Linked DNA regions of Rhinolophus ferrumequinum. Each later gene encodes a partner of the first gene's protein in a complex. Links are inferred from orthologs where the notes say so. Each region holds a gene or a part of one and is shown in the gene's direction. Other genes may lie near its edges.

Evidence for each region.
Region 2: the proteins of PAK1 (region 1) and ARHGEF7 are in contact, whole or in part, in an NMR structure (PDB 1ZSG), measured with the Homo sapiens proteins. The link is inferred for Rhinolophus ferrumequinum from reciprocal best matches to the Homo sapiens genes PAK1 and ARHGEF7. Residues at the interface, in NP_001363202.1 of Homo sapiens: Thr185, Pro186, Pro188, Val189, Ile190, Ala191, Pro192, Arg193, Lys198, Arg203, Ser204; in NP_001106983.1 of Homo sapiens: Lys192, Phe193, Phe195, Thr198, Asp201, Glu202, Glu217, Gly220, Trp221, Trp232, Pro234, Ser235, Asn236, Tyr237.
Region 3: PAK1 (region 1) and DAB2IP share a complex: the UniProt entries of both Homo sapiens proteins name them as parts of the cytoplasmic complex. The link is inferred for Rhinolophus ferrumequinum from reciprocal best matches to the Homo sapiens genes PAK1 and DAB2IP.
Region 4: PAK1 (region 1) and MAP3K5 share a complex: the UniProt entries of both Homo sapiens proteins name them as parts of the cytoplasmic complex. The link is inferred for Rhinolophus ferrumequinum from reciprocal best matches to the Homo sapiens genes PAK1 and MAP3K5.

Annotation. Positions count from the first base shown.
Region 1 is NC_046294.1:51,808,905-51,816,806, reverse strand, and holds the start of PAK1 (serine/threonine-protein kinase PAK 1), read left to right. Parts: upstream 1-4,433; 5' UTR 4,434-4,930; intron 4,931-6,229; exon of another isoform or gene 6,230-6,341; intron 6,342-7,902. UniProt on the Homo sapiens protein: Protein kinase involved in intracellular signaling pathways downstream of integrins and receptor-type kinases that plays an important role in cytoskeleton dynamics, in cell adhesion, migration, proliferation, apoptosis, mitosis, and in vesicle-mediated transport processes.
Region 2 is NC_046287.1:54,063,412-54,071,342, forward strand, and holds the start of ARHGEF7 (rho guanine nucleotide exchange factor 7), read left to right. Parts: upstream 1-4,739; coding exon 4,740-4,904; intron 4,905-7,931. UniProt on the Homo sapiens protein: Acts as a RAC1 guanine nucleotide exchange factor (GEF) and can induce membrane ruffling. Functions in cell migration, attachment and cell spreading. Promotes targeting of RAC1 to focal adhesions. May function as a positive regulator of apoptosis.
Region 3 is NC_046295.1:71,938,049-71,946,589, forward strand, and holds the start of DAB2IP (disabled homolog 2-interacting protein), read left to right. Parts: upstream 1-5,451; 5' UTR 5,452-5,523; coding exon 5,524-5,626; intron 5,627-6,754; exon of another isoform or gene 6,755-6,903; intron 6,904-8,541. UniProt on the Homo sapiens protein: Functions as a scaffold protein implicated in the regulation of a large spectrum of both general and specialized signaling pathways.
Region 4 is NC_046286.1:82,961,401-82,968,870, reverse strand, and holds the start of MAP3K5 (mitogen-activated protein kinase kinase kinase 5), read left to right. Parts: upstream 1-4,230; 5' UTR 4,231-4,442; coding exon 4,443-4,884; intron 4,885-7,470. UniProt on the Homo sapiens protein: Serine/threonine kinase which acts as an essential component of the MAP kinase signal transduction pathway. Plays an important role in the cascades of cellular responses evoked by changes in the environment.

The DNA of each region.
Region 1 (7,902 bases):
TGAGATTCTGGAACGGAATCACTCACTGATCAGATGGCAACAAGGATCTATTGTTGATGATAATTGAGCAGTGCTGGCCCCTGATATGCTGTGCTATCATAACGAAGCCTTCAGCTGTGGTAGAACAGGTACAAGTGGAAGGAGTACTTAGACTAGGTAGTAGCTCTAGCACAGAGATTCCAACCTGTTTTGTTTTTTAATAGTGCTCTCTTAAAGAGAAAAATTAAACTTAAAGTATCCCAGGTGGGAAGGCGGAGGGGCAAAGACGTGAAGGTGATCAAAAGGTACAAACTTCCAGTTATAAGATAAATAAGGTCCTGGGGATGTAATGTACAGCATGGTGACTATATAGTTAATACTGTTTTGTATATTTGAAAGTTGAAAAGGAAGTAGATCGTAAAAGTTCTCATCACAAGGAAAAAAACTTGTAACTATATGTGATGATGGATGTTAACTAAACTATGTGGTGATAGATGTAAACTAAACTTTCACAATATATATCTACATACATGTATATCAAATCATGTACACCTAAAGCTAATAGTGTTATAGGTCAATTATCATAATACAAAGATAATACACTTTTAAGAAAATATCCCACAAACCATTGTAATATCTAAGATGTAGTTTTGCCCACCTCAGAACAAGTTTCACTTCCTTGCGGGGAGGTATCACCCCCATTGAGAATTCGCGCTCCAGCACTTGAATGATATGGCGGTAATGTTAATTATAATTTCACGGAATTGACTGGATTTTGTTAACTATTTTAAAAGCCTTGAAGAAAGTGATTTTCAGGCGCAGGTTATCCACCTATCACTTTAGGACATGGGATGAAATCCAGAAGACTTTCACGGAAGATTTCTAAAAAACCTTCTTCTCCCACAGCCGGAGAGCAGATCATGCTGCAAATCAGGCCCAGAATGTAATAGGGCCGAGATCCTTTGACTGTTCCCGTATGCTAAAGTCGGGGTTTCCATAGGTAGGGAGTGGCACCGTGAGGCCTGGGATGGAGACATTTGGGTGGATGCAGCTGAGAACCCGGTACCTTTAGCAAGTAGCTGCTCCCCCTTGTTAGCACAGAGCTGTCACCCTTGACTAGAGACTGTACTCGCTTCTTATTGCTGCAGTAACAAACTGCCACAAGTAAGGTGGCTTAAAACAAGGCATTCATTATTTTTATTTTTCTGTGGTTCAGGCTGCTTTTCGAGGGAGTATGTGGATATGTGCGTGGGGGTGGGGATGGCTTTCATTCCCTACACAAAAGTTAGACCCTCGGATCTATTCCTTCCCTACCTACTCATCCCCATTCCTTCCCTACCTGCTGGGTGTTCAGTGGTCACATCCTCCTATTTCAGTCAGACACACAATCATTACCTCACAGTTCTGTGGTTCGGAAGTCTGAAATGGGTGTCACTGGGCTAAAATCAAGGTGTCCGCAGGGCTCTGTTTCTTTCTGGAGGCTCCAAAAAAGGATCTGTCTTCTTACCTTTTCTAGCTTTTGGAGTGGTTTTTATGCCTTAGCTGGTAGCTCCCTTCCTCTGGCTTCAAAGCGTGGGTGGAGTGCTTCTCACATTCAGTCATAACTCGATCTGACCTCTTCTGTAGTCTAACCTACCTCTTCCTCACTCTTCCGCCTCCCTATTCCACTTTTAAGAATCCTTGTGATTACACTGAATTTACCTGGATAATCCAGAATGACCTCCCCATCTCAAGACCCTGAATTTAATCACACCTGCATAGTCCCTTTTGTCAGGGAAGGTAACATATAGGTTCTGGGGATTATCAGGATGTGAACCTTTTTAGGGAGACATTATTCTGCCTACCACAGAGACCATGCAAAAGCAATTTTGTTTAGGATTAATTTACTGGGTTATGATCTTGGGTTAACTCCTCTGTGCCTCAGTTTCCTCATCAATAAAATGAGGGGGAAACAGTAGTCTATCTCAAAGGCTTATTAGAGGTGTACAGGAGATAGTGCTTAGAACAGTATCTGGCACATGGCAAGTGCTAGGTTAGCATTTATTTAATACGTTTTTATAACATTTTATTGATTCTTACTATGTGTCAGGCACTGTTCTAGATACTGGGGATATGGATAGAATGGATAGAAATATGACGATCTCAAGGAGCTCAGGGGGTCGGATAGACAAATACAGTTACTACACAGTGTGCTACACGCCATGAAAGGCATGGAAGTACTATAGGATTACAGCAGTGTGAAGGCTCAGGGAAACTTAAGAACTATCAGTTGAATGAATAAATGAACATGACATTTGAGCTGGTGTGGATGAACAAGGGGCCACATACTAAACCTGACGAGCTCGGGAGGACTGCACCGCCAGCCTTACAAACTCAGAGACCCAAAGAGACCACATAGGATGATCTGAACATAAAAAATTCCCGACTAAAAGCTAGTTATGGTGGGTAGTCACGTCATTGGCCTGTAGCTTCCTTGACAAAGGTCAATCTTTACCTTAAGTGAGCCTGTCTGTTGTCTTTTTGGCATCTAAAATAACATATCTTTGAAATGTCAGAGTAATCCCCCTTTCCAGACGCCCCAGGGCACACCCACCACACCAAAGCAGGAGACCACAGAACCCCTCATTGTTATCCTGTTCCCCAATACCATCTTTACATGCTGTAAATATTAAGTATTTACTCTCCTGGACCCACCAATGTAAAAGAAGCATCTCTCTCCATTTTACTTTTTATCCAATCCCAGAGATTTCCCCGCTTTGCTTTTTCCTGCCCCCGTAATCTACCACCGATGGATTTCATGTAACCCTCCTTATGTCTCCTCCTTTGATTCTAAAGTATAAAATAAGCTCCAACATTGCTATTCTCTAGAGCATTTTCTCAGTCTGTTGAGATTTTGCTTCCTGGCCATTGTCAGTTCGGCTCAAATAAACTCACAAAAATTCTCTATAGGTTTGGACATTTCTTACGTTCACACTGGGCTTTGTAGAGTGAATAGGTATTGGCCAGTGAGATAAAGAGAGAAGGGCTCAGAGCCATGAAGAAATGTATGTTCAAAGAACATTAAATAGCATTTTGGTGTGGTTGGAACAGATTTATGGTGTGAGATGAAGCTAGACAGGCTGCTGTAAGTCCCAAGGTTGAATGGTACGAAAGGCTTCCAGAGCGTTTAAACAGGAGTGGCCATCATCAGTTTGTGGTTTTAAAAGGCTACTCTGGTCCCCAGTAAGAATGGATTGAATTTGGAGAGACTGAAAGCTGCTCTAGTCGTCTAGGTCATGGTAGTGAGTGAAGAGAAGGGCAAGGCCTTGAGAAATATTTACGATACTCTACAGGATTTGGTGACTAATTTGATAAGGGTCTCGAGAGAGGAAGAATAGGGTTATGTCCAGGTTTCTGGGACTGCTGGATGATGGTCCATTCACCGAGAGCAGGAAGTAACATTAGTTGCACCTTTGGGTGAAATTGGTAAGAGGTATGGTCAACATTCCAAACGGTTTCATGTGTGCTAAATTGTAGTTATTATTATTATTGTAAAACTGAGGCTTGGAGAGATCAAATTTAGGTACACAGGTAGTACTTATTATGGAGAAATTGTGACTTAGAAATGTTAAAGTCCTATCCCTGACATTTGTACAGCTGGGACTTGAAGCAGGACAATCTGATTCCAGACGCTTAGTCACTAAGGTTTCCGTTTTGGACATGTGGAATTTGAGGTACATGAAGTGTAAATGACACTGCCAGGAAGCGTGGGGAAACACAGAATCTGAGCTCAGGGGAAAGGTTTGGGATGAATGTATCCTCCAGGGTCGGAGAAAACCGAGAAAGGAAGCCCATTTTTTAAATCTCAGTACAAGATAGTTCAAACCTCCATTAGCACAGTATTTCTTTATCTCCTCTCCACTCCAAATAGTATAATAAATGTTTGGCTCTGAGGTCATAGGAGATGGGGTGGTTTTCAAATATCTCTCTTGGTAATGATCTAGCACATGCGGTGGTGCTTTGTAACCTGAAGAGGACCACAAGACCAGGGGGTTAGCCATCTTTTGGGACTTTTCCTACACCATTAACGCCCCCAGAAAGCGTCCCAAAATCTTCCAGGAGAAAGGCCATGCCAAAGGAGCCTGCAGCTGTAGACCGCCGGACCTGAGACGAGCCGCTGGTGCAATGACGTCATGCGGCCTCCGGGTGATTCCCCAGTCTCTGGCGTCATGCGCCGATGACGTCATCCCAGAAGCTCGCCTTCCCCTACGCTTGGGTTGGCAGCACTCACGTGGGTCTGCCCTGGCCTCCCCGCCCCCTCCCACCTGCGGGAGGCGGGGCGGGCGGGCTCTGCCAGCGCCGCTGCCTCGCCGCGAAGGGGGCGGGGGCCGGGGCCGGGGCCGGTGGGAGAGGCGGTCCCGCCAGGCCCCGCGGCGTACAATAGAGCGGCTGCGGGCGGGCGTGCGGCTGCAGCTGGAGCCCACGGTGCCAGCAGGCAGTAGACGACCCTCACGGCTTCCCTCGCTCGCTCGCTCCCTCCCCGCCGCCTCCCTCCCTCGCCGGCTCTGCGGTCTTACCCCACGGACGCTTTCCCTTAGACTCTCATCCCCTCTTTCACGGAGCCCCACTCTGCCGAGAGCCCCTCGAAGAACTGTCTTCGCCCCACCTCCTCCCCGGGAGGCTGCCCGCGCCCTCTCACGTCCCCGCCCCCCACCGCACCCCCTTCCCCGCGTCGCCTGGCTCCTTCCCTTCCCCCTTCCCCGTCGCTGACACCCCACCCCCTCGTCCTGAGGGGACTCCCCGGCCCCAGCCCAAGCGGGGTGGGGGAGGCGCCGAGCGCGCCGCGGCGGCGGCGGGAGGGAGAAAGTGCAGCGGCCCGTCGCGCACACTCGCGCGCTCACTCCCGGGCTCGGCCGCTGCCACCCGGGTGGAGGAGGAGGAGGAGCCCAGTCGAGCCGGGCGAGCGCGGAAGGTGAGAGCCGGCCGCCTGCGGGTACCGCTGGCGTCTCAGGCTGCCAGGCTGGGGTGCGGGGTGCGGGGGCCTGGGCCCCATTCATTCGCGAGGCGGGGTGGGGCGGGCGGGGGCGCCAGGTGAGACGAGCGGGGGCGTCGACCCGCGAGGTTGGCCGTTCCTGTCCGAGCAACAAAGGCTCCGTGTGCACTCATCCTCGCGGCTGCGGGTCTCACGCTGGGGGACCCAGGAGACCCCAGGGACCCGGGAGAGGACAGAGGCTGGGGCGAGGCCGGGAGACTCCCCAGATCCCCGTGTGGGAGCGACTCCGTGCTGAACTTAGCGGTCCTCCTGCGCTAACCGTGGCCGGCGCTGGGGAAGCCTAAGCAAAGCGGCGTCCGATTCGTTCTGCTTGGAAAAAGCACCCCTGTCCGGGAGGGAGGAATCACCTGTAGGGTCCCACTTCTTGAAAAATACTATAGGATAGAGCCTGACTTCTGCAGTCCCTCCCCCACCGCGGGAATACTCTAACTTGTGGAGTTAAAAACAGGGAAAGGATAGAGCTATTGTTATGTTCATTATTCCCTTTCAAAAGACATGATTGTTGCAACCTTTACCGCCTTGAATATTTTCTCAGCCAACATTGGTGGGAATGTTTTTGGAAGAATGCTTGAGAAGTTTTGGATGTTGGGAGCAAAGTGCTTGTTGTTTGTGAAACCCTTTGGGTAACTGTCGTACGTTCCCCACCCCCACCCCCGGAACTGTGAAAGGTGGTACTATGGTTATCAATAAAAATTCGAATTCATTAGTCTAGCCTTTAAGAATTGTTCCAGAGAAAAATCTTTAGTTTGCTTACTGTCTTTGGGCGCTCTCAACTTTGTCAGGGGAAAGCAGGAGGCAACAGTACCCAGATGCCTCACTGGTCTTACCTTGTGACTTTACCTACTTCCTGTGTGACCTTGAGCAGGTCACTTCCAGCCTTAAAGTTCCAGGGGTTTGCTTTTATGCCCTAGAAACAGGCAGGTATCAAGCACTTACTCAGCTTTCAAGACTCCACTGAAGATTTCCTCTCTCTTCGCCCCACTGCGAAATCGTTGCTAGCAAACACCCCCAAACTCTAATCAGGCAAATCTGACTTCTCACTGGGGCCATCAGAGGCCTGTAGGAGTTACCACAGCGCTTGTAACTTTTTCTTGTTCCTGTTTGGGAAATCCTCAGGTGCATATGAAATACACCTCATCTCAACTAGAAATTCGACTCAAAAAGGGTTTTGGGAACATGGACCCTGAAACATTCCCTGAAGCTTATTCGTACCCTTACCTGTATGATGAGCTCATGGGTCTGTCTGGTAAATTTGCTGATCCAGTCTTTCATTTACCCAATATTACTGGAGTGTGGAGAGCTGCTGGGTTTCAGGTTTTCTAGGGCTATGGGGATTCAGAGTCTATTAAGACATTCCCTGTCTTCAAAGAGCTCAAAGTCTAGTGGGTGAGGTAGACATGTAAACAATGGAAGCCTGCCCTAATCTCTGGGGACTCCAGCTATCCAGGGAGTAGTGTGCAATAATTGCGGCTGCTAGACCTGTTTTACCAGTCTTTTGGTCCTGGCCAAAGTGAGTCCAAAGGGAAGGTGGTGACCTGCCTCTCATCCATAAGACAGCACTTGGTAAAAGCTTGTTCAATTCAATTTAATACGCATGTACCAAGCATATGTTCTGAGGCCCTGTGCTAAGCTTGGAGGAAGCAGTGCTTTCTGAAAGGAGAGTGGTCTGTATCCAGAGAGATCTCTGTAAATCAAAACCCATCACATCATTTCTCCCTACCTCAACTAGTCCTAAAGATACATTTTCAAACTCTTAAACAGAATAAGAAGTTCTCAGAGATCAGACGGCTGCCTACCTTTGCAGCCTCACTTTTCTATAACTCCCCTGCCATACTCTTTCTCATCCTTGCTTTTGCTTGTTCTGTTCTTTCTGCCTGGAATGCAGGTCTCCTTACTCCCTACCTTTCTGTGGAGAAGTGCTTGTTGGACCTCTGAGAAGCAGTCCCTTAGTCTCTCTTCCTGTGACTTCCATAGGATGAGTTGCTCTTTTATTCTTTGGCTCTTGCACGTACCACTCTTACAGCACTACACTGCAATTATTTGATTTGTGCCTGTCTTTTCCATTAGTTAACCTGTGAATTTCTTGAGGGCAGGATCTGTTTAGTTTTAGTGCCTAGCAAAGTTCTTTGCACTGCATAAGTGTTTGAAATGAATGAATGTCTGAATGAAGAAGCAAGCCCATGAGATAGAGGATAGCCAATCCTTTGGGTTAGAACAATTAGCTCTAAGTGTGAGCTCTGCACCAACCACATCAACATAATCTGGACATTTGTTAGAACTGCAAATGAAAAATTCGGGGTTGGGGCCCTAAAACCTCTGCTTTAACAAGCCCTGCAGGTGATTCTGACACTTGCTAAAGTTTGAAAACTGCCGGGTTAAAAGATCTGCTTTTGATAAAACCAGCTCCTTGCCAGCTCCCTTCCGCTCTTCCTTTTTCTTCCTTCTGTATCAGAGCATTTACTGCCTGACATTCTATTCTGTTCCATCTGTCTTTTGCCACTAGATTGAAAGCTTCCTGAGAGCAGAGAATTTTGTCTGTTCACTACTTGAATCCCAGTGCTTAAAATAGTGACTGCATGTATCAGGCACTCAAATATTTGTTGAATGAATAATATGAGATGATTTAGTCCCATTTACTGCCAGCTGCTACATTGGGATTTTATTCAAGAATAGTTCTCAGAATAAAGAGGAACCACACTCCAATATGGAAATTCAAGTGGATTCTAACATTTTTGGGGATTTATTTTAGACTGAGCTTTTCTCCCTTTTACATCTGTCTTTCTCCACCAAAGCCTGTAGGAGTTTTCGGCTTTTGTTCTTCTAGCCAAAACCTGAAAACTGCTGTTGAAATATCCTAGGCCAGGATTGTTTCTTGGGAATTTGCAACTTGG
Region 2 (7,931 bases), on another chromosome or scaffold:
GTAGTATCCAGTCAAGAGCACTGAGGATGACAGTCATTGGTATCTTTGAGCTAAATTCACATGGAGGATAAAACAGATTTGTAAAACACTTTGTTTTCCAACAAGCCCTGGCTGTTATAGTGTCATTAGGATTTAATATTGGAATAGTTTAATCTTCAAATGTCTGTTGCTTTATAAAAAGTAGGTTTACAACAATATAAAACACATAATTTATTTAAAGGGATAGGAAAAGATAAAGTGAATCAGGCAGTACACTAAATCCGAATGGACTTATTTTCCTATTTAAAAAAACACAGACACTATCAAAGAGGCATAAAAAATAAACTACAGCTTATGCTGTTTACACAATCTAACTTAAAACAAAGTGTCAAAGAAGAGTTGAAAGTCAGCCACCAGGGAGGAGCACCAAATGATCAGGTAGAGCTGGCACAACAGCCATCCACCAATCAGGGACGGTGCATTTGGCATGGCCATGGACGTTCTGAAAGCACAGGAAACTATGGACACAAGTGGCCCAGAGCTCCAAATCACCTGTCTCTCTTGATTGGATTCCCAATACTCCTCAGTTCACGCTTGTGACATTGTGGAATCTTTACTATGCCCAGATGACAGAGAGAGAATGGGCCTGGTTTACAAATGGATTTGGTTGATAATTTGGTGTGAATGAATCTGGACTGCCGTCACACTACAGCCCAACTCCAGGGTGGTGCTAAAGGACAATGGTGAGGAGATGCCCTCTGACTGGCAAAGCTTGGAGCAGTTTGCTGGTCATCTCCTTTGGGTACAGATGCTTGGGCACAGTCGTGGGTGTCTGGGCTCCTTGTTTGGGTGCCTGGAAGGGGCAAGATGGGATCAATGGTTGCAGGGAAGTGGTGGAGGAGCTGTGGAGGAAACTGTGGGTACAGACACGGGCGTGTGGGTCTTGAGTCCCACATCAATCTTCAGAGTATCACTGAAGAAGGGACACTCAGCAACCAGGCACACAGATGGTGTCTGTAGCCAAGTGAAGCCAGCCCAGGCTTTGCTTACCAACACAGGGCCCTGCACAACCGGCCATAGTCAGTCCGTCATGGCGGTGGGGATGGAGGAGTGCAAAAAACCACGCTGTGGCTTCCTTCTCATGAAGGCTGACCTAACTACCCACAGCAGAGGCTGATTCTAACCCACTGATGAGGTAAAACCAGCCACTTGTTGGCAAGGTGATTACATGAGAGCCCTACAGTCCTGGAGGCAGAAGCAATTCATCTCACTGGATGGATACTTGCAGGAAACCAGCTTGGGGGTGACTTCCTGCAGAGTTAGGATGTGGCACATACACTGAACCAATGGCTTTTATATCGTGTTGTGCCCCCACGTAGCTAAAAAGGAGCATCCAGGCATCAATGGGTGGAAATACCATTGGCCTCTCTTACCATCACTCCCATTGATCCACTTAGGGTATTTGTGCCTCCTGCTCTGCAACTTTAGGCTCTGCTGTATTAGAAGTCATTGCCCTGGGGAAGACCCTCAATCTCAGGAGATGGGAGTCGAGGCATAAATTTTAGCCTGCCCATCCTCTGGTCAGAAAATTCTGAGACCTGCTCCACTGTTTCTCGAGGCTCCCCAGGGGATCTGAGCCCCAGTTGCTCATTTATACACCTTTGATTCACTTTTCTCCCCCTCTTGTTTCCCTTTCTCCCCTTCTTCATTTGTCCATCATGGGATTACTTCTTAAATAAACTACTTGCTCCCAAGTTGTTGGCCAGGATCTGCTTCTGTGGGAATCCAAACTAAGATAAGGGCTTCACCGACGTTATGTTTCATAATATACTATATTGGTAAAATGTCTTCCGAGCCTGAGTAATTTTTCAGCCATATATGTTTTTAAGCTATTGTTTCCTGCCTTACATCTTTAATTTTTTGTATGTGACCATATTTATGCCAAATAAATAAGATACAGTTTGATAAAACGAGTGCCTTAACATACAATAGATACAATGGACTTCACATAACTGCTTCTTACTGAATTGTTCAATCTAGATAATGGTCCAAATCAATAAAATTAATTTTACAGACAGTGATTGCTACACATTTCTAGGTAAATAGTTATCTGCCTGTCTGGCTTTAGGTTGGGGTAGATTTTAACATCTTTGTAACACCATCATCCAAGTACCCACAAGCTAACAAATCAAGTTAGCCCAGTTCAGCTGAATTTTGGGTAATGGTTTGTGGGTGTACCCCTAACAATGCCTGGGATCAGGAATGAACAGGCAGTCGAGCTGGGTGTGAGGCTGAAATCCTCTCTTGGGAAATGAGGGAACTGAAGGACATGTGCCTGAGCTGACATTGACAACCCAATAGAACAATGAGTTCTCCTCCATAGCACATGTCCCCTATAATAGGAACTTGGAAAAATATTAAGTTTAACCAAATGTCCACCTTGGATACTAAAACAGCTCAATTAAATACCTAAAACACCTAGCTTTGAACAATGTTACTTCTAGCATGCTCCAAACAAACATTTTTGAAATTAATGTACATCCAAGGTAAAAGAATGCCACTAGTAGCTATAAAGCATTTAAACATTCAGGGACTTCTAAGGCCAGTTATAGGTGGCAGTTATTACAGTTATTATCTGACAATAATTGGCTGCCAGGTTCATTGGTCACCCAAGGTCACTGCCTAGAGCTGTCTTTCTGTAGGACCATTTGATTGAGTCAAGTTGAATGTTACTCTTTTTTACTAGATTATAATGAAATTTGAAATTGTAATGACTGTATTCTAAATTATGTCTCCAATTCAGCAGTAATGAGAGTAAACAGGAGACTCAGTGGACAACTCTTGGGTCCATACCCTTCCCTTGATAGAGTCTCTGAACACAAAACTTGATCGAGCTGTTGATTGCGGTTTCCTAGAAAGCGTGTAGGGGAAGTGGTCTAGAAAACAGGTGAGGTGTGTTGGTCCTGGAGTCACAGAGCCCACGTTTGAGTCCATCTCCACCCCAGTAAAATGGGGACAATGAGAACTGTGCTAATGATGGTGTGATAGAATGCAGGGAGAGAGCACTGGGCAGAGGCACAGGGCGCCCAGGAAGTGGTTGCTGTTACAACCAAATATTCCACCCTCATATTCCAGAATTCATAGTGCTCTTTGAATTACTTTGTGTTTGCATTTGGAAAAATTTAAGCACTTAAAGCTGGTAATAAATGCAATTCATGATTACAATAAAAGTATTCTGGAAGAAGGTGAAGAAGAGGAGAGTTAAGCCTCTTTTTTAAAAATCTTTATATGGTTTCTAAGTCTATGTCATTTACTCTACTAATATATGTGGCACATAGTAGCTCTCTGTAGGTGAGTGCTAATGCTGTTTTAAACTGTCACAGGGAAAGCACTCAGAGACTGGATGGAGAAAACAGACATACATGTACACCTAAAACCTGCTTCTTTTAAGATGAGGCTCTCTTCCTTGGTTAACATATAAACGTGTCAGTGTCCTTGGTTGTTTGAAAAAGCTTGTTCATTGTGCATCATTTGGTTGTCTTAGTACTTTAGGTCCAACCCTGCACGTCTTCACAGCATCTCTTGCCCAAATGTGATCTGGCCAAGTGGCCTGTTTTGACTGAGCTGTTTGCACAGTCCTTCCTTCCAGTTCATCTGTACAGATACAGTTTAGGCTCTGCTGTTTTCTTGACCTTCCTACCAGCGTTTGAAACATCACCATCAATTTAAAGTGGAGCAGCTCTGAGGTTTCTTTCTGGTCCTGGAGAGTGGGGCCGACTGCCCCCCAGCGAGTGAGGTCACTTGCTCGGAAACAGGCCTCCCAGCAGGGGGCACGCGTGACACCGGCCACGCTGTTTGGGGCATCCACGCCCCCCCGCCCCCGAGGATCGTAGCAGCGCCTGGAAAATCAATTCCTCTTCAAATTAGACCCATCTGGTTACAGATATAATTATCATTTGTGTTCTGTAATTATTGGCTTACAAGGTAGTGGAGAGAAGCACTCCCCCACCCCTTGAAATAAAACTGGCAAAAATAAAAAGAGCATTCTGGGAAGCATTTAATAATTTAAACATTTATGAGTTAAGAATATAAATAAACGGTTCCGAGTCCTTCCAGGAGGGGAGAGGGCGGCGGAAAGGACAGGGCAAGGAGAGGAGTCTTGCTAGGCTCTCACCTCTGGAGGGGGTTGCGCATGGGCCCCGCAGGGCGCAAACGGTTAAGAGCGCGCGCCGCCCGCGGACTGGGAGTCCCCGCGAGCCCTCTCTGGCAGGCGGGCTGTCGCCTCCTGGAGGTCACCAGGCCCTTGGGGCGGGAGTCCACTGCCAGGCGCGCAGGTGCGGACACGCGCGCACTGCCGGGCCTGGGGGGTGGAGGGAGTACCACCGCGGGGACTAAGCGTGGGGGTGCGTGTGCGGCCGGGGGGCCGGGCCGTTCCAGCGCGGCGTCTTTTCTTCTTTTTTGCAGTGATGTCATCGGCGGCAGCGGCTGGGAGCCGGGAGGCGGCGGCGGGGGCGGCGCCGGGCGGCCGCCGCAGGTTCATGTGCATGTAATGAAAAGGCACTTGACAGTCGGCCAGGACGCACGCGAGGGAGCGCGAGCCGGCCGGACCGCGGCGCCGCCCGAGCCAATCGCCGTCGCCGGCCTCTCCATGGGCGAGCAGGAGGAGGGGGCGGTGAGCGCAACCGGCCCGGCAGCGGCCGCTCCGCGGTGAACCGCGCGGAGACGGGCTCGCGGCGCGGGGAGGCCGGCGCGCCGCCGCTATGAATTCCGCGGAGCAGACCGTTACGTGGCTCATTACCTTGGGGGTGCTGGAGTCGCCCAAGAAAACCATCTCGGACCCGGAGGGCTTCCTGCAGGCGTCTCTGAAGGATGGGGTGGTCCTCTGCAGGCTGCTGGAGCGCCTGCTGCCCGGGACCATCGAGAAAGTGAGTGCCCCTGGCCCGCGCCCCCACGGCAGACAGGCCCCGGCGGTGGGAGCCCCGGGAAGTGGGAGGCCTTGCTCCCCGCCTTGCCTGCGCCGCGGCCCGGGATGCGCGGAGACGCGCGGGCGCTGGGCGGCTCGCATCCGCACCTGGTGGCCGCGCGGGGATGGGAGAGCGCGGGGCGCGGGGTAGCCCACGCGCCTCCTTTGTGCGCAGACCCGGGAACGTGGCTCGCGCGAGGGGCGCGCTGGCGGCGCGAGGACCCAGTGGCGGGAGCTTGGGGCGCCATTGTGTGCGGTGCGGGCTGGGGCGGGGGTCGGGGCTGCGTTCTAGGGGAACGACCCCGGGGAGGCCCGGAGGGAAGGGGAGCGCTCTGCTCTGCCCTAAGGTGGAGTCGCCCCTCTCCGTGACCCGATCAGAAAACCGTGCTTCAGCACCGCGCACAGCTTCCTCGGAGGCTTTGTTTGAACAGCTTTTGTTGGTGGTATCGTATGGGAGTTTCGTCCTCCGTTTAGTTGACCAATTGCTGTGCATTTTTTAAAGATGCATTCATAAATAGCTGAGGGCTGGGTTGTGAAATGATTTACTGCCCTCCCCACGAAAGAATCCCTCAGGTCTCTAAACCCAGAGGATTGCAAATGCGGGGTTGGAAAGCCCTGGCATTCTTCAAGCTGGCTTAAAATTCTAGATTTCATTTTCAGGTTCCTACCTGATTTTGAACAGAATCCCTAGCCCTACAGATCCTGCTTCTTTTCTTCGTGACTGGTGGTTTCCCCGGGGCTGGAGTGTGAACCTTGACCCGCATCTCTGTGAGTGATTAAAGTTTGCTTTCCTCTCCCACAGCTGACAAAGCAGGGGCGAGGGGAGAGAAGCGCTTTTAAAAAGGATACATTCTCTATATCTGACAAACACTACAATCTTTTCCCTTTCCCCCCCAATACATAATCTTAAGGTAAACAATTACTTAAAAGGTGTTAAATGTAGAAATTAAAGTAACACCATGATTAGGAAAAAACTATTTTGTTTTTTAAATGGGCATATTGGCCCTAATGCACAATAAAAATTTGCTAATAAAAATATTAAGTGACTTTAAAAATTAAACTGTTTGATTTTATAAGTTTGCACATGTCCTGGTGCTACATTTTAAAGGTCAGAAAAGAGTTTATTAATATGAATTTTGCATACATAGTAGTTTTAGTTATTTTTCTTACTTGGAACGTGTTTATGAAAACATAATCTGCACTGTAGGGTGAATAACTTCCTGCCTGTCCTGAAAATAAAAATGTTGCTTGTAAATGAACCTGATGTCACAATAAAATTATGATTTAAGACAGGAATAAGGAGCAGGATCTAACTTTCAAGGCACTCAAAATATTTTGTTGTCATCTGGATATCAGAATCTCTGGTAATAAAAGACAGATGTTTGAAAAGCATTGAAAATGCATGCTAAGTTTATCAAAATAGGCTTACATAAAATACCATTCCATTCTAAGAGTGAAACTTCATATGCTGTCTAGATAAAAACTATCAATGCGTGTTATAGGCCTATTAACTACATTAATATTGATTGGCAAACTTCAATAATCATTTTCTTTTAAATTCTAGGAAGATTTTCTTAGAACACTGTAGCATGCCTTTCATCTCTAGAACAACAAAGAGAGGAATGAATAAAATGTTTAGTTTGAAGAAAACCCAACATATTCTAGAACTATTGTCATTTGGAAATTTCTTCTATTGAAGCTATTCTTTTATTCCCCGTAGGCCCCAATTGGTTTGTTTTAGACTGAGACTATCACAATGAAAGTTTAACATCAGAGTAGCAAATTATAGTCAGCTACTCATTCTCTGTGGTTCAAAGGTAGGTTTTTGGAGTAAAATATTAGCCATTCGCTCTGCCTCTGAAACCTTGGGTTTCAGAAGTTTCATGAGCTTTTTCCATTTCCTAAGAAGAGTTATTTATTTGAGCTTTTGGATGTTTGCATGCACAGCAAATAATGTATGCCACAAAGCACACGCGGAACAGCTTTCCCTGGAATGTGGGAATGTTAGTCTGAGGACGTTTTTCCTTAAAAAGGAGCATTTGGAAACTGAACAGAATATTCATATGAAATTGAAAGGATCTTAACTTTACTCCTGTTTGCCTCATGAACACACTGACAACTGGTTAATGGGATGTAAGCAGCCTGCAATTTAACATTTGCAAATTCATAATTAAAAATTTTGAACCATTAGACTGGGAATAGTGCATAATTAAGAAAAGTTTTAGGGTGGCTCAGATTTCCCATATGCCTTTTATTAGGAAAACATGCCCTAATATGTTCCTTGCATCATGCTCATTTGTTGTGTTTTAGAGCCAGTAAAAGGGTGGAGAACTAAGAGGAAATTCATTTCGGTTCAGATTGTTCTGCTCATTTAAAAAAAGTTTTCTGTTCAGGTTCTCCTTCATATAGTTCTGCTTTTCTTTAGGGTGGAAAGTTGCACAGGGAAAAGAGGGGACTATAAACTTTACATGAGCAGATCAGACAAGACACACGTTTCATTATTTATTACTCATGATGTTTTCTGCTGCAGGGGAGAGAAAAGTGGGGATTACAAGGTTTCCCAGATCTTCGTGTATGGGGATCCCATAGTTTGATTTTTCTCTGGTAATGGCCAGAATGTTTTGCTGACCTGCCCTCACTACTTGCTTCCCTCAGTCCTCCTGTGGTGGGAAACACACAAGGCCACAGGATCCAGTGAGACCTATCGGCACTGAGCTCATGAGTTAACACTTTAAACATCCCTAGCCTATTTAATCACTGGGAGTGAAGTCAAGATACAGAAGTTTCAGAGGATGGAATATTACTGTTAGATTAACAAAATACATGAAAATAATGGAAGTCATGAAATGCTGCTTTAATTAGACTTGTAAATGCAGCCAATGAAGTTGCTTGGTTCACCATGAAAAGGCAAAGAACCTGGTTCTTTCTCTGTATGTGCAGGATAACAGAACACACAGTAATCCATAAAGGGCTGCACAGGAGACACTCC
Region 3 (8,541 bases), on another chromosome or scaffold:
GTCAGCCAGGAGCAAGGTTTGCACATTTCTACTGTTTATTCTATGTAACCCTCATTGCCTCGCACACGAGCACTGGATCAGAGCTTTCTGTGCTACCTTCTCTCCTCTCCATTCACGTCACCCCTGCCTGTGGTTCCTGTGGGCCGGGGTCTTCATCATATGATGCCTTGGTTGATGTGGTTTTGAATCTCACTTCCATCATCAAGTGAGGGCCCACCACCCCAATAAGAGATAAAGCAACTGGTCAGTTGGCATGACTATGAAACATTGTATGCATGAATACAGTAGTGTGGCACAGTAGTATAGAGTCCAGGATTTGGAGCCAAACAGACTTGGGCTTGAGTACAGGCTCCGCCGTTTACATGTTGTGTGATGTTCTGCAAATTGCTTAAACTCTCAGCCTCCGTTTCCTCACCTGTCAAGTGGAAATTAATGACAGAATCACCTCAGAGTTGGTGGTTAGAATTAAGTGAGAGAACACTCAAAGCACCTGGCAAAACACTCACACTTGCGCACATGTCTACGTATTTGTACCAGATGTGGAAATTTCTGGTAATTAACAGTGTCCAACGATGATGAGCAGCTGAGCACTGGAGGTATACAAGCAGACACAGGTTCATTCACTCGTTCAACATTCATTGAGCATCTACTATGTGCCAAGGCATTCGCTGGGGGTGGGAAGAGGTGCAGCAATGAACGAAACCAGGCATGATCCCTGTCTTTAGGGACATCCAGCCCCGGGAAGGCGACACAATGATCCAGTGATCATGCCACGAAGAAAAGTGACTTGGCCATAAGTGTGTCGCATGCAAGGCCAGGGAAGGCTTTTGTGGGGTCTTGACACCTAAACTGCCATGGGAAGAAGTGAACTGGGCAGAGGGATGGAGGAAAGTGTTTCGGAGAGGGGATTCTGGTGTGCGCAGGTTGTGTAATGGGAAGAAGCTTTGCATAACTGGGGACCTGGAAGCTGGATGAAGGCAGACAGAAGGGGGGGGAGATGGCAAGAAGCCAGGCTGGAGAGGTGGGCAGGGGCCAGACCGCATGGGGCCTGCTAGGCCACATGAAGACAATAAGAAGCCATTGAAAGCTTTTAAGCTGGGGTGGGATGATATGATTGAATCTGTTCTTTGAAAACCTCATGGAAGCCGTAGAAAGAGACCAACAGGGAGAGGGCCCAGCTGGATGTAGGGAGCCAGCTCAGTTCTTACTCAAGTCCCGGCAAGAGACAACAGACGGTGCCTGGACTGGGCTGGAAATAAACATTTGGGACTCACCGGCATGAGGACAGCGGTTTAAGCCCTCGGACTGGATGCAGTTGAAGTTGTCTGCGGAGAGAGTCTGGAAGGAAAAGAGGGACACAGACCATCGCAAACTCTAGCTTTTGTAGCCCAGTGGAGTAAAATGAGGGAGCCAAGGAGAGGACCAGAGAACTAGGAGAAAAACTGGGAGAGGATGGAGAGTTGGAAAAGATCAGAGAGTGTCCAGGGGGTGAAGTATAGCCAAGAGGTCGGGGCAGAAAAAGATGGAAAGGTATTCTTTGGCATGACCAACAAGAAGGTCACTGGTGACCTTTCTGAGAAAGCACTGAAACAGCAGACTTTAGGCTGAGTGAGGTTCCTGCCTTGCATGGCCATTTGCGTGAGATGAAGGGCCTAATGTCCATGTCACTAGGATAATATTACCTTGTCCAGTACGATCTGGATCAAAGAGGATCAGCTCATTAGTTCAGAAAATCTCTGAACTCGTGAAGCGCACAGTGTTCTTTTCCAGTGACCGTGTAGCCCTGGTGACTTGACGTATTTGCTTGTACAACATCTAACACTGGCCAATTCATCTTGTAGAGTCTGGACCATAAGCCATTTGCCATCCTCTATGTTGCCGTGATGGAAGCTCCCAACAAGTGGACATATGTGGATTTTGCATATATAGTGCAGACGATGCAGTTGGTAAATCGTCTCAGACGCACCCCTGGGGAAGGTGCCACAGGCTCTGTCACCCCTACAGATGGAAGCTGGCAAAGAAAAGATGGGTCCAGATTGGGATCTCTGGACTATGTGTGAGAACAGATTGAAGGGGGCCAGAGTGGATGTGGGGAGACAGGGAGGAGGGTCTGTGGTTCTGAAGTATTGCACAGCCCTCACCCAGGGGTGGGACAAAGGACAGGAGGGAGGAGCCCCAGGACCATAATTTCTGACCCTTCCATCTTCTGGGCCAGCCTCCAGGCGCGTGCTTTTGTTCAGAATTGGAGAACACCCGCTCACATTGTTTTTCAGCCTCCCACTTTCATAGGAATGCAAAAAGGTTCCTTCCAGCCTCCCCTGTAAACGTCTTCCTCTTAGCCAATATTCACATAATTACTACCTGTTCCAAAAATGGGGCCATGCATTTTGCCTCTATTATCTCACTGAATCCTCATGAGAACCCCTTGCAACAAGCCCCAGTCACATCCTGGTTGTGCAGACACAGAAACTGAGGCACAGAAGGATACAGCGTGGCCCAGGGCACAGAGCTGGCAAGTGGCTCAGCCTGGATGTGAACCCCCGTCTCTCTGACCCCAAAGGTCACAGCACCTCCCAAGGACACTCAGTGAAGATCTGTATGTGAGATCGCTTTCCTTTTGAGAGTTTGGCATGACCCCTTTTATTATTGAGTATTTAGGTCCACTCACCCCTTTATTCATTCAACAAACCTTCTGGGGCCAGGCTTTATGCAGGTGGTGGGGCAGCAATAGTGGCTCAGACAAGGTGTATGACCTAGAGCAGCTCACAGTCTGCTCAGGGAGGAGACAGCTCCATAACCAGGTGCAACAATCCACAATGTGATAAGCACAGACAGTGGGGTGGGCGGCCACTGTGGTAACCCTCTGTCTGGGAGAGCCGGTGCAGAGCTCCTAGGGGCTTCCCACAGGCTGAAATGGCTGCCCTGGGTCATAATAGGAGACGCAGGCCCTTGCCTGGCAGAGACGAAGGACAGGAATGCCAGGAAAAATAAACAGTTTGTAGGAAGGCATGAAGGTATGACGGGGGGGGGGGAGGGGGGGTGCGCTTTGGAGAGCTGGCTGCATGGTGGTGCTCGGGTGTGGGAACCTCAGCTGGCTGGGACGAGGGTGTGAGACGGGAGCAGGACGCTCATGTTTACTGAGCACTCTCACCACGAGCCAGGGGCTTTGTGCTGAGCACATCACAGCCACTATGACCACATTATTAAAATAAGGAAACTGAAGTTCAAAAGCAGGACTGGATTTTATGTGGATTCTCATCATGCTTGTTCTGTCCCTTAAAAAAAAAGTTATGAAGAAAACATCTGCGTACCTACAGCCCAGGTCAAGAAATAAAACCTTACCAATATGACTGAAGCCCCTCCCATCATCCATTTGTAGCTCCCTCCCCCCAGAGAGAAACTCTTCCCTGAATGGTGTATTTATCTATCTATCATTCCTCTGAGTTTCTTTATACTTTTACCATGTATGTGCGTTCCTAGCATTATACGGCATCATTTTGTTTTGCACATTTTAAAAATCTATATGAATTATATATCATACTATTTGATTTTTCTGCAACTTGCTCCCCACCCCTGACTTACTAGTTCATAAGGAAGCTCTAGTGGTTTATTTTCACTGCAGTGTAGAATTTCACTGAGGGCTCCACAGTCTGTTCATGCATTCTTCCCTGATGGGCATTGAGGCTGTTCAGACTCTTTACTGTATTAAAACTGCTGCAATGAGCGAGAGGTTCTGTAGGCTGATCCCAGACGCCGAGTCTCTGGGTCGCTGGGGTGCATGCATCTGCGACACGTCTATGGTAGATGCTGTCAAATTGTTTTCCAGAGTAGTGGTACCCATTTCGCCTCCTGCCAGCAGTGTATGAGAGTTCTCTCAGCTATCCCTACCTCTTTGCTGGTCGCCAATCTCACAGGTATGAAACGGCTCTTTACTGGGGTTGTATTTTGCATTTCCCTTAGTCTGAGTGAGACAGTATCTTTTCATGCACTTATTGGTCATTCAGGTTTCCCCTTCTTCAAGTTATCTGTTCATATAGTTTGCCCAATTATCTCTTGTTTCTTTTGAAATTGATTTGTAGAAGATCTTTGTATATTTTGGATATTGTGTCCCCAATATCTTGCTTTGATAAACAAGGGCTTTATACTTTATTAAATGCATCGATATTTTTCTTAATAGCTTATGCCTAAAGACACAAAGGTCTTCAAGAAACCTTTCCATATTTTTAGCATGTAAGTCTTTAATCCACCTGGAATTGATTTTTTAATGCATGGAGTGAGGTAGGGATTCCACCTCAATTTTTTCCCAGTATGAACAGCCAATTGCTCTATAAATCACTGTTTGTAGTACAGTCCACCCTTTCCCCAGTGAACTGCAGCCTCACCTCTTGCCGCGTATCAGGTTTCCACACATGTGTGGGTCTATTTCTGCAGCCTCTATTCTAGTCCTTTGGCCTATCTGGCTGTCTATCTATCTATCTATCCTTGAGTTAATATCATACAGTCTCATTGTACCTTCTTAGGCCGTCAGAACCTCCTCTCCTGAATGAGAAGGGTCAGACAGAAGACCCATGTCTTATTCATCTTTTCATGCACTCTTTTCGTCATCACTCATTACATGAACATCCATGTCATGCTTTTATTTACAAAGACTTTCTCACACTCTGTCTCTTGGGCTTCTAATGCAGAAGAAGAAACTGAGTCACAGAAGTGCGATAACTTGCCGAGGTCACACAGCCAGAAAGTGTAAGATTAGGGGTTCTGCAGGATTTCAAAGCGACCCTTCTGCATCCATGCTATACTGCCCAGGCTGTACTTGATCCACCCACTCATCTGGGCTATGATTTTCACTCCTTCCTCCCTTATTTCAACCAGGAGCTCCTGAGTGATGTGTGCGTGTCAGCTTTTGTTGGTGCTAGGGCCTAGACTCCATGTCTGGGGACCTCTTCCCCGTGCTGGAGACCAGTAGGGAGGGTGGGACCTGCAGTGCGCATTTTGTGGGAAGTGGTTTGAGGCCTCGGGTCAGCAGGAAGAAGTCTGGTGGGGTTTCAGAGTCAATTTAAAGAGCCCCATGCTGGGCGTGCACTTGGGGCCCAGGCGCTGCCTTCAGAGAGGATGCTGGCTTCCCCCAGGAATTACAGGCGTCCTCCCGCCCTCCCGCCTCGCGAGGCAGGAATGCGAAGGATCAGCTTTCAGCAGAGCTGCGGCTGCTGTTCCGGGGAGCTCCAGGTGCAGGCCCTTCCCCAGCGGCCAAATTAACTGGTTCTGTCTGTCCAACTGGGAGAGCAGCTCTCGCTAAAAATAGCGCCCTGCCCAGTGCGAACTGAGCCCGCCGGGAGCCGGGGCCGCGATTGTGGGAGTCCGAGCCGCGACAGTCTAAGAAGCCCGGGGAGCCCCGCACGGCCCCACCCCGGGCCTGGCCCACGTCCCACCCCCGAGGCCGTGTCCGCAGGCACAGCGCTGTCTCCACAGGTGCCGCGAAGGGTGGCAGGTCCGCGGGCCGAGGCGCCGCCGAGGCCGTCCGGGATGGGAGCCGGCGGCCCTGCCTCCCGCGCGCTCGCCTGGGCCTCCCTGCCCCTGCTGGGGCCTCCCGCCGGCGCGCTCTGCGAGGACACAATTTGCTGCGGAGGTAAGGCCGGGCCGCCTGCGGGCGTGTCCATCGCTCTTCCCAGGCACTTGCTGGGGCCTCTTTCTCCTTCCCCACCCCAGGTCCGCAGCGGGGGGCGAGGTGGAGGAGACCCCAGGCATCCGCGCAGGGCTTGTGGAGAAGAGCCAGGTGTTCTCTGTACACTTACCTGTAGTTTGAAAAAGTTGCAGTCTCACCACCAGTGTCCGAGAAGTGATCACCTCCCTTTTCGCCTCAGTCTTCCTATCTGGAAAATGGGACAATAAAATCGTCAAGGTTTAATATTTGTTATGACCCCTAGAGAAGTTGGGGAACCCTTTAAAGCGGATCACAAGCATTCTGGAGACGTTTACTCCAACCCAGATGGAGTCCTCGAGAATTTATGTTAGTGGGAGGGTTAGAGGTGCCTTCCTTGTTACCCCCCATATCTCCCAAAACTCTGCACCTAGCATCAGTTCTCAGCCCCTGCTGTCAGAAATGGAGGCAGGGGCCCACAGCAAAGTTTAAGGGGTCAGCGGACTGTGAAAATCCTTGCAGGAGAGGACGATGTAGACTTGTTAGAGGGGTGAGCAAGGCAGAGTCTCGGTCCACTCCTCAGTCGCGTGCCCCGAGAGCCCCCAGGCGAAAGCCGGGCTATTATCTTTGAAATCCTCAGGGCCTGGTGAGGAGCGCAGTCCGGCTGGCACAGAGGCCCTGGGAGGGCTAGCTGAGACAGCCGATGCGCTGTACCCGGCCGGGCCGGGGCTTGGAGAGTGGGGGCGGAGGGGCGTGTGGCCTGGCCTAGATCGGGGGTGGAAGGGAGGGGGTGTGTGGCGCGTCCTAAGTCCTGAACCAAAGCGGGGGGGGGAGGGGGCGTGTGCCGGGAGCCGAGGGGGTCCGCCCTGCCGGTCCCGCCCCGCGGGGTTGCAGTACTGGGGTGGATTGGTCAAACAGGTGCGCCCCCGCCCCTCCCCTCCCGACCTCCGCTCTGTGCCGGCGGGGCGGGCGGAGCTGCGGTTGGCTGGGCCTGCGGATTGGCAGGGCTGGGCGGGCTGGGTGGCCAGAGAAGCCCGGGAGCTGGAGCACCCAGGCGCAGGAGGAGGCGCGGAGCTGGCCAGGGCGCACTCCTGCCCGGCCCGCCGCCTGCTTGGCCCGTTCTGCTGTGCTCCGCCTGGCTGGAGCTACGGAAACTTTCCTGCCACCTGGCGACCCCGCGATCCCACCACCTCGTGACCCTGGCCCTGGGCCGGCTCCGGCGCCTTTGGGATGGCAGCGCTGAGCGGCCCAGCTGGCGGGTAGAGGTAAGATCAAGATGAAGTGGGCCCGCGGGCTTGCAGCGGTCCCAGAGGGATCTCGGGTTGGAGAGGGTCTGGAGGGCCTGATAGGAGATATTGGGGGTACAGGACAGAGGAGTGGGCCGCGACTTTGCTTTACTCACACTTTCTACGTTACAACCCCTATGCCACAAGAATGTCTACCTGGTGCATTGACCCTTGAAACTTTCCTGTGAGCCCTGCCTGTATCTCTGGGTCCTTGGGGAAGAATCGCTGTGGGTGTTACAAGGAAGGCACACCTAGTGGGGACCCGCAGCCAGCTGAGGGTTGGGGGGGTATCTCTAGCTTCCCAACTCCAACGCTTCCAGTGGTTTCCCAAAACTTCAAATCCTCCCCAGCCCACTCTGAGGAGTTGGGGATTGGATAGCCACTCCTTTCTGCCCAGAGTCAGGCACCCCAGGGCACCCAGATTTGGGGTGTTGTTTTGTTAAACCCATTGCTACTCCTCAATTTTCGGGGAGAGGGCGGAGTCGAGTGAGGTCTCCTTTTGGTTTCCTGGGCTTCCTTGAACCCTGACCTCCATGAAAACACCTTGAGCTAAGCAGAATGGCAATAGGCACCATAGCCTTCCATCCAGGTCCCAATTCCCAGCCTAGTGGGAATGACTGTGGGAAAAGTTTTCTGGTTTCTGAATGGCCCATATTTTTGAGGTTTCTGGCCTGAGTCATATAGAAACTACGCTCCTGTTCCCTGCCCCCTTCTGCTATTTAGGGGGGAAATTAATTTTGACTTGAATTTAATTTTGACTGAGGGTGGATGAGCAGAGAGCTTGTCACCTCTGAGGATCATCATCTTTAACATGTCCCCTCAATGTCAAAGCCAAACTCCTTTCAATTTTTTCTTGACCTACAACAAAACACCTGAGAGTTAAAAACCAGACACCGGCTCTGGAGCCCAGAGAACCTGGGTTCAAATCTCAGCCCCACTGCTCACTTGTGTGTCCTTGCGCAGGTTTTCTACCCTCTCTGAGCTCAAAGGTCCCACCCCAGGGGGATCTAGTGAGGCTTTTGAGAGTAAGGCATGGAAGGCATCTGGCTCATAGGACAACAGCTTTGGGCTGCCAGTCTGCATCCTAGGGCGTGGACCCTCTTGCTGCCTGAGGGACCCAGCCCATTTGTGCCTCAGTTTCCCCTTTTGTCAAAAGTTGGTATGGACCTACCCCTCTCAACAAACCCTTTTGAGAAAAGTGCACAGATGCACACACCCTCCGAGGCATGATCTGTAGACCTGAGATTTAAGACAGCCCCCTCCGTCTCCCTCCTTGTCATGAACTATTCATGAGGCATAGGCTTTCTGTCTAAAACTGATCTCTCCTCATCCCTTTTGGATGCTTGGAAGTAAAGGTTCCCTGTAAGTATCAGGGAAATGCAAATGTACTGATTAACCAACATGACAGCGAAAGGGGCTGACCTGCAGAAACTGGCCCCAAGTCACCTTCAAGGTTATCCAGGCCACCCCCTCCCCAATCTTCCTTACCTGGTAAACAGCTATTTTTTTTTTTTTTTTTTTTGCTGGGATCCTCTAGTGACAGCCCACTAAGGCAGCTGGCTTCATGATTGGGCAACTCCACTTTGTTAAAAAAGTCTTCCTGTTTGGAGCGGAAAT
Region 4 (7,470 bases), on another chromosome or scaffold:
CCCCAGTTGGTAAACAGAAAGCAAGGGAACCCACTGATTTAGTTCATACATATTAGTCTATGAGGCAGAGACTATGGGATATGAATGGAGAGTGGATTTGGGAAAACTCAGGAACTGATGGCAAAGTCAGGATTTGAATTCATATTCTTACTCCTACTCCCCTGCCCTTCCATCCATTCAAATGTTTGCCTACATTCACTGATCTTATATTTACAGAAATACTTCATGGCCCAGGATGATGTTAGCTTCCTCTGGAGTGAATTTTGATTACCAAATGCCTGGAATTACCCTAATCCAATTTCAGGGTTTGAGCCTTTTTCCTGGGTTACGCAAATGTCTGGAGGCCTGGTTGTTATCCAGGTAAAGGTCATTTCACTTCTAGTTCACCCTGACTTCTAGGTTATCTCATCCTTACTTTTGACTTTCCAGGTGTTGTGAAAAAAACCAAAAACCAAAAAAACAAAACAAAACAAAAAAAACCAATAAACAAAAAAACAACAGTTTAGCCTCTCAGCTGCTTAATTCAGATCCACAAAAATTGCCAGGACAGAAGCAGCCCTGACTGTAGGCACACCCTCTGGATCCCTGCCCTCTCTTCCAGAATCTGGCCATATAGTTTCACATGATCTCATTAGTTTTTTGATGCCTTTATTTTAATTATTATTATTTTAAAAATTTTGTCCATCATTCTTAGTCTTCTTCAGTGAGAGGGTTGATCAGAATTACCTAACCTGTCATAATCAGAAAGCGGAAATCTCTCCTTGATATTCCTCCAGTTTTTTATTAGGAAAATTTTCTGCCCTACCTGCAAGTGTTCTCAAAGTGTCCCAAGGCCCATCTCTAAATGGAAATGGGATGGACCCTGACTGAGAATATAGTTCTGATTGGTAAACTTCAGTTCTGCTGCCATGCCTTTTTCATGTGTAAAGATGTCATAGAATCTTTATGATGTTATAATTCTATCATTTACTGACTGTGATTTAATCTTTGTCAAAAGCTTCGGGAAGCCTGCAATTTGTGGATCTACGCAACATGTTACCTCTCTGTCTCCTTGGGTTCCTTTTTGCCCTGATGCAGAATGTCAATTTGTGAGCTAACGAAGAAATATAATCCCCTTGGTTCCTCCATTTATTAAAGCAATATAACCAGAAAGTATTATATCTGATTTGTCTTATTTTAGATTCTTCTAAAATGCTTTCCTTGAGTTAATAATTAATATTATCTTCTTGGCTTTTAAAAATATTAAACATAAATTTATGTCTAATATATAACTAACATATATAATTTTTTACAAACAAATCCATTTTCAATTGCATTGTATTGCCCACTGTCCTCTATATCAGATTCTATGTAGTAAAGTATAGAATTTAATGTCGGAAAAAGATTTGACTCTTCATATGAATATGTGTACTCTTACATGTTTTCTTTTTATTTTAGCAGCCAAAACACACAGAGCTCAGTTTAGCAATTAACTGAATTATGTATTTATATGTGTGCTTGATATCTCTTTTACTGGCTTCCTGATTGATTTCTGACAATTTAAAATTATATGTACCTTGTTTTGTACGTAACTTTAAATACTTTTTAGAATTACGAGTACAATACAATTACGTATATTGTATTCCCACTTATCTGAGGATACAAAGAAAGAGGCAAACTTGTCACATAAAACAAAAGCTAGCTAGCTAGGAGATCCTTGCCCATTTCAAGCTTGAAATTCACCATTTTGCTTGTTTGAGAACAACCCTGAGATGCCCTTTAGAAAAAAGTGCTCCTTTGATCCAGACAAGTTGCAAACATGCGCATCCTCTGGGTGGTCCAATTAGAAAAATGCTTTCATTTCTCCAGATGTGCACCTTGGGCCAGCCTTGCAAGCTGAGGGCAGGCTGGGTACTGGCACCACATCTATCTCCTCTGCTTACACACAGGCCCCACATTTGCGTTGCAAGTTGAACCATCTGAATTTTTGCATATTTGATTATTAGTTATAAAACTGGAAATTCCATGATTCAACCTGATATATGCCATGTAAGTTTCATTAGCTAAACCATGCCATTTAGGTAGTGAGAGAGCCTTAGGACCAACTATGTACAAGCAGTCTTTCAGCATTGCATTGGGGTTTGGGTGCCAGTAATGAATAAAATCTTTAAAATTATTAAATCAATTCAAAGCAAAATGAAGCGAGCAAAAGTAAAAAGGTGGCTCTGAAAAGATCTAGAAGGGAAGCAAAGCTGAAACGGTCTAAAAAGTTATGGTTTTTAGAAAATACCTTTATATAATCTTAGATCTGTGTGGTAAAATGCTATTGAGAATTTAGGCATTTTAGTTTTCCAGACTTGATCCTAATGAATTTCCAGTGTTTATTGTTTTGGGTCAGGATGGGGTAGAGGATCATCTATTCCCGCAGGAGTTTGGAGGTTTGACAAGTCGTTGGAAATACTAAACGTTATATATCTATTATATTAGTAGCCCATCAACGTTGTCTTTGTTTTTGTTTTCAGTACGGTCACTGATTCACTAAATACTTTTCTAATGACATCAAGTCCAAAAGCACGTGTGGATCACATGGATTCCAATTGATATGAAGAGTGTTAAGTATCCTTACTATAAATTCACTTCTGTCAGTTTACAAACCTTTAGAAAAAGCTAATGTCACTTTGCTTCCTTGGGGATACAGTTGCGTAGCTACTAGGTGTTTTTCTTCTTATTACTGTTTTCTTCCTCATTTGAACTCTTTACTACTCAACTGTTTCATCCTTCCTTTTTCACCCAAGCTTGAACGTAATTTGAATTATTCTTCTACCTTTTTCATAGGACTCATTAATCTCAGTTCCTGGAGATGGGAAACCCAAAACCTGCCTACCTTATTTTCTTGCAATTTTCACTGGTTTTCCTAAAGTCATAGCATTCTGGAGTTCTCTGAGAATTTACACTTCTATTTTTGCTCCCCAAATAAGTAGGTACTTTTTGAATGCTCTTAAGCAATCCACATATTTTTTCTGCCTGTGGTTCAACTTAAAAAAACAGAAGAAGTCATTTAATTTTCCTCTTTCAACTGGCGGCTGATGATTTGCCGAATCTGGTATAGACCTCCTCTTCTATCTCAAGTAAGTATATAGCATATGTGTGTGTTGGGGGAAGGTTAAGATCCTAAATGAGAATGTTAAATCTCTCAGCAGTTGAACCTAATCAATTACTCATTAATGATAGCACAGCTGTTGGAAAACTTTAAATGAAAAGTACAGGCGCACATCTGATAAATTTAGCCTGCCAATTCCGGAGCGCCATTGTCACTAATAAAACACCCTCCCCAATTTAGGCCCCAATTCCCTAGCGCTGGTTGAAATGCCCCCGCTTTGCGCAACGCGGGCCTCCCGGCGCTGCCCCAATCCTTTCAGGGCAGGCGGCGGTTCCAGACTGCGCTGCGGAGGCAGGGACCAGAGGAGGGCGCCGTGGCGGCGGTGAACGCTGTAAATGCCTCGAGGCTAGCTCAGAGGATCCGAGCATTCGCCAGAGAGACTATTTTTTTTTTTCGTCATACTGTTGTCTCGTGCGCTCCGGGCTTCTGCCTACTCCAGATGTTCTTAGGTGGGGGCCTGGTTGGAGACGGCAGAGACCCTTGGTCCGGACAGCACTCGTGCTGGGCGCGATCAGTTTTGTCCTGGCTCGAGATTCCCAGCAACGCCCTCCCCTGGGGCGGGCTCTGACTCTCGGTGCTGCGACGAGTGGGCGGCAAGAAGCCGGTGGCCCACAGCGTGAGCGGCTGCAAGGAGCGCTGAGACTCCAGCTGCAAGGCTGGCGCCGGGACCTAGCGGCCGCGGCGATCGGAAGAAAAAGGAGATCAGGGGAGGAAGAGGAAATAGAGCAGATGAAGGAGAACTGCCGTGGAACAGCGAGGCGGATCCTTTCGACTGCAGCTGCCGCTGTTCCGGCACGCAGCCCGGGGAGCGTGCCAGCCCGTAAGGTGCTGGCCAGGTAGCTCCCCACCCAGAGAACGCTCTTCCTGGCCCTTCCCAGAGCGCCTGGCACGGAAGGAGCCGGTGCCGTGCTCCTGGTGGCCAAGGCGCACCGCACCCCAAGAGCGGCGCCCTTGAGCTGCACCGCGGCGCAGGTTTGTGAGCGACTTGTTCGCCCGCCGAGAAAAGGAAGCACTGTCCCTTCCAGCTCAACCCGACTTCCCCACCCCTTGTACTCTACACCCTGCAGCGGGCGAGCGGAGCGGCGCGGCCACGGAGGCGCCGAGGAGGGGCGAGCCGCCGCCCGGCGGCTGCGTCCCTTCGGGGGAGAGGGCAGCTGAGAAGAGGCGGCGGCGCGGCGCGGAAGGCGCGACGCGCGATGGCAGCTGCTTAGCCCGGCGCGCGCGGAGCAGCCCCGAGCTGTGGCTGGCCAGACGGTGCGACTGGTCTGGGGACGCCGCCGCCACTGCAGCCGGGCGGGGAGAGATGAGCACGGAGGCGGGCGAGGGCATCACTTTCTCCGTGCCACCTTTTGCCCCCTTGGGCCCCTGTGCCTTCGCTGAGGGCGGCAGCTGCCGGAGGGGAGGAGTGGTAGCCGAGGGCGAGGACAGCCAGCTACCACCGCCGCCACCGGGCAGCTTCTGGAACGTGGAGAATGCCGCCGCCCCTGGCACTGGGTGTCCCGCTGCCACCTCCGGGAGCAGCGCCACCCGGTGCCGGGGCAACTCTGGTGGCGGAGGCAGCCGACGGACCACAGTGGCATATGTGATCAACGAAGCGAGCCAGGGGCAGCTGGTGGTGGCTGAGAGCGAGGCCCTGCAGAGCCTGCGGGAGGCGTGCGAAACGGTGGGCGCCACCCTGGAGACCCTGCATTTTGGTAAACTGGACTTTGGGGAGACTACGGTGCTGGACCGTTTTTACAATGCAGGTGCGTGTGTAACCCTTTCCCATGCTCCACGATCCCTGGCCGTTGCAGGGTTTAAAAATATGTTTTTCTGGGCAGGAGAAAAATAATTTTCTGGGCAGCAGGAGTGCTTCCTACTTATTTACTTCTTGCCGCACCTTAGAGACAGCAGCGCTGCGCGACTGCTGCTGGCGCTCGCTGCTCTTGGGAGAGAGTGGGTGCTGGTGCAAGAGCCTGTGTGTATTTGTGCGAGAGACCGGCTGACTCACCCACCCACCCACCCACCGGCGCTGGAGCCCTGGGGTCTGTGTGGTCCTCATACAGAACTTTTGTTCCTCAGCAATGCGAGATACTGGCCCCAATCAGCCCTTCATTCAGTGTCTTGGTTTCTCTTGTGTTAGATTTGGCCCATATTTTCCTTCTGTATCTACCTGTGACTGAGGTGAGGGTTCTCTTTTTTTTTCTTTTTTGGTCTTTTCTTCTGTATAGTTTTGTGAGTACAGAAACCATAACTTATGCCACACAGCCAGCTGCATGCACGTAGTGTGTCTGTATGAATTTGCATGTCATGTCCTGATCTTCCCACCTCATGTTACCTTAAGTTTGGTGGCTTGAATTTCTCATTTCTTATCAACTTTTAAGTAATTACTTCCAAAAGTAATAACCTTGTAACTTACACTAAACTTGTGTGGTATCTTTGTTAGGATTTCAGTGAAAGGACCAGGGTCTGTTTTTCATTACCCCATATGCCATGATGGACTGGAAAGTGTATAATTTAGCATTGTTTAAAATGCTGATAGGCTTTCTTGACAGCCAACACTAAATTGGCCATTAAAGTGACTGCTAGCATGATCCATGAAAAAAATGTATTTTAACCTATCACAGATTTCAGAAAGTATTGTAGTTCCAGTGACTGAAGCGATTAGCTATCTGTTAGCAAATGTTAAGAATAATAATGTTATTTAAACTAACCATTAGCACCCTGTATAACCAATATTGAACATATATACATACTTATTTTTATAAGTGTGGGCAGAAAATTTGATTTAATGGTGGTTTCAAACAATAAGGCTCTTGCATTTGTGATCACATAAAAGGTTTTATATTCTAATCTTGTTTTCAGTTCTCATTCTCTTCAGCCTCTTCAGAACACCTAAAGTAGGCTTATGTCAGTTTTGGAATTCAGTCAAAGCTGAATATTTTAAGCACAAGAACTTCATGTTAAGGAAGCCAGACTAAATAAACTAGGACTTTCTGGTTCTGGTATTTTTTACAGCCTTCTTGGTCTTCATAACTGAACATGAGTATAATATATTGTAGCTTGGTTCTTTGGGTGGCTTGCTAAAAAATGGCATAAACATAACTTTTCTAAAAATGAGAGCACTCTTACTTTTGGATTATAATTAGGAGGAAGCTTCAAAGAACTGAAAGATGTGTGAGGGAAACACCCAGCCAAATAGTGTATTTTTACTCCACTGATAGGGCGCTTTGAAAATATCTTAAACTCTAAGCCGATTTGAAAGTCTTCTGTCAAGGCTCACTTACTGTTTATTCTCCAAGTAGTGTCCCTAAGAAAGGGAGAAAGATTAGAAGGGACTGGACATCTGAACTGTATATCTCATTTAATGCTCCAAACTGGTGAAGGAAGTCCCTGCTTACTGTCTTTCTTAGGTGAGAAGACCAAGGGATCCAGAACTGGTCCCAGGACTCAGGTAGTAACTGGTCGGTGCTGGGAATCCGCTTCTGACTCTAAAAGCTCAAGCTTGCTGCCTCCATTTAGTTGAGCTGATTTTCTCTCAGAGTCAAGAGAAGCTCTCTATCTTGGAATTATGTGACAGAGGATGGACAGAGACTTTGTGAGCCGTTTAGGGGCAGTGTGCAACGCAATAGTGGGGAGAACTTGTTCTAGGAAGACCAGTGTTTGTAGGCCAGCTCTGTCCCATTCCACCGCTTCCATCATCCTGTACCCGTCCTAGTTTAACCTCTGCCTATGTGAGTCACGTGAACTCTGAGCCTTCTCATTCAGCTTCAAAATGTGCCACAATGAAGATGGGTATCGGTTTTGTCCAAACCCTTTATTTTCCTAAACTGAGCGTTTAATGGTAGTAGAGGCTGCTGAGTTTAATGGTAGTAGAACTTTTCTTCTGATTTCTAAGACAGCACTTGCTCCTCCTCCATCAGGATTCTGCAAATTTTTTTGTCAAGGGCCAGATGGTAAATATTTTAGACTCTGCAGGAGGTCTTTCTTACAACTACTCAACTCTGTGGTTGTTACAGGAGAGCAGCCATAAACAGTACCTAAACAAAAGATCTTGGCTGTAGTCCAATAAAACTTTGTTAGTGGACACTGAAATTAGAATTTCATATAATTCACAAAATATTTTTTAAATTTTTTCCCCCAACCATTTAAAAACATAAAAACCATTCTTTGTAAGCTGTACGAAAACAGGCCTGGCAGGATTTTGGACCCTGGGCCATGCTGACCTTTGCTATACGTTCACCCCGCTCCCCTAGAAAGCGGAATCATTCTGACCTAGTGAAAAGAGCACTACTCCTCAACTTAGATCTGGCTCTGTTCTGAACCACGTAATTGTGAGCAAGGCCCTTCAT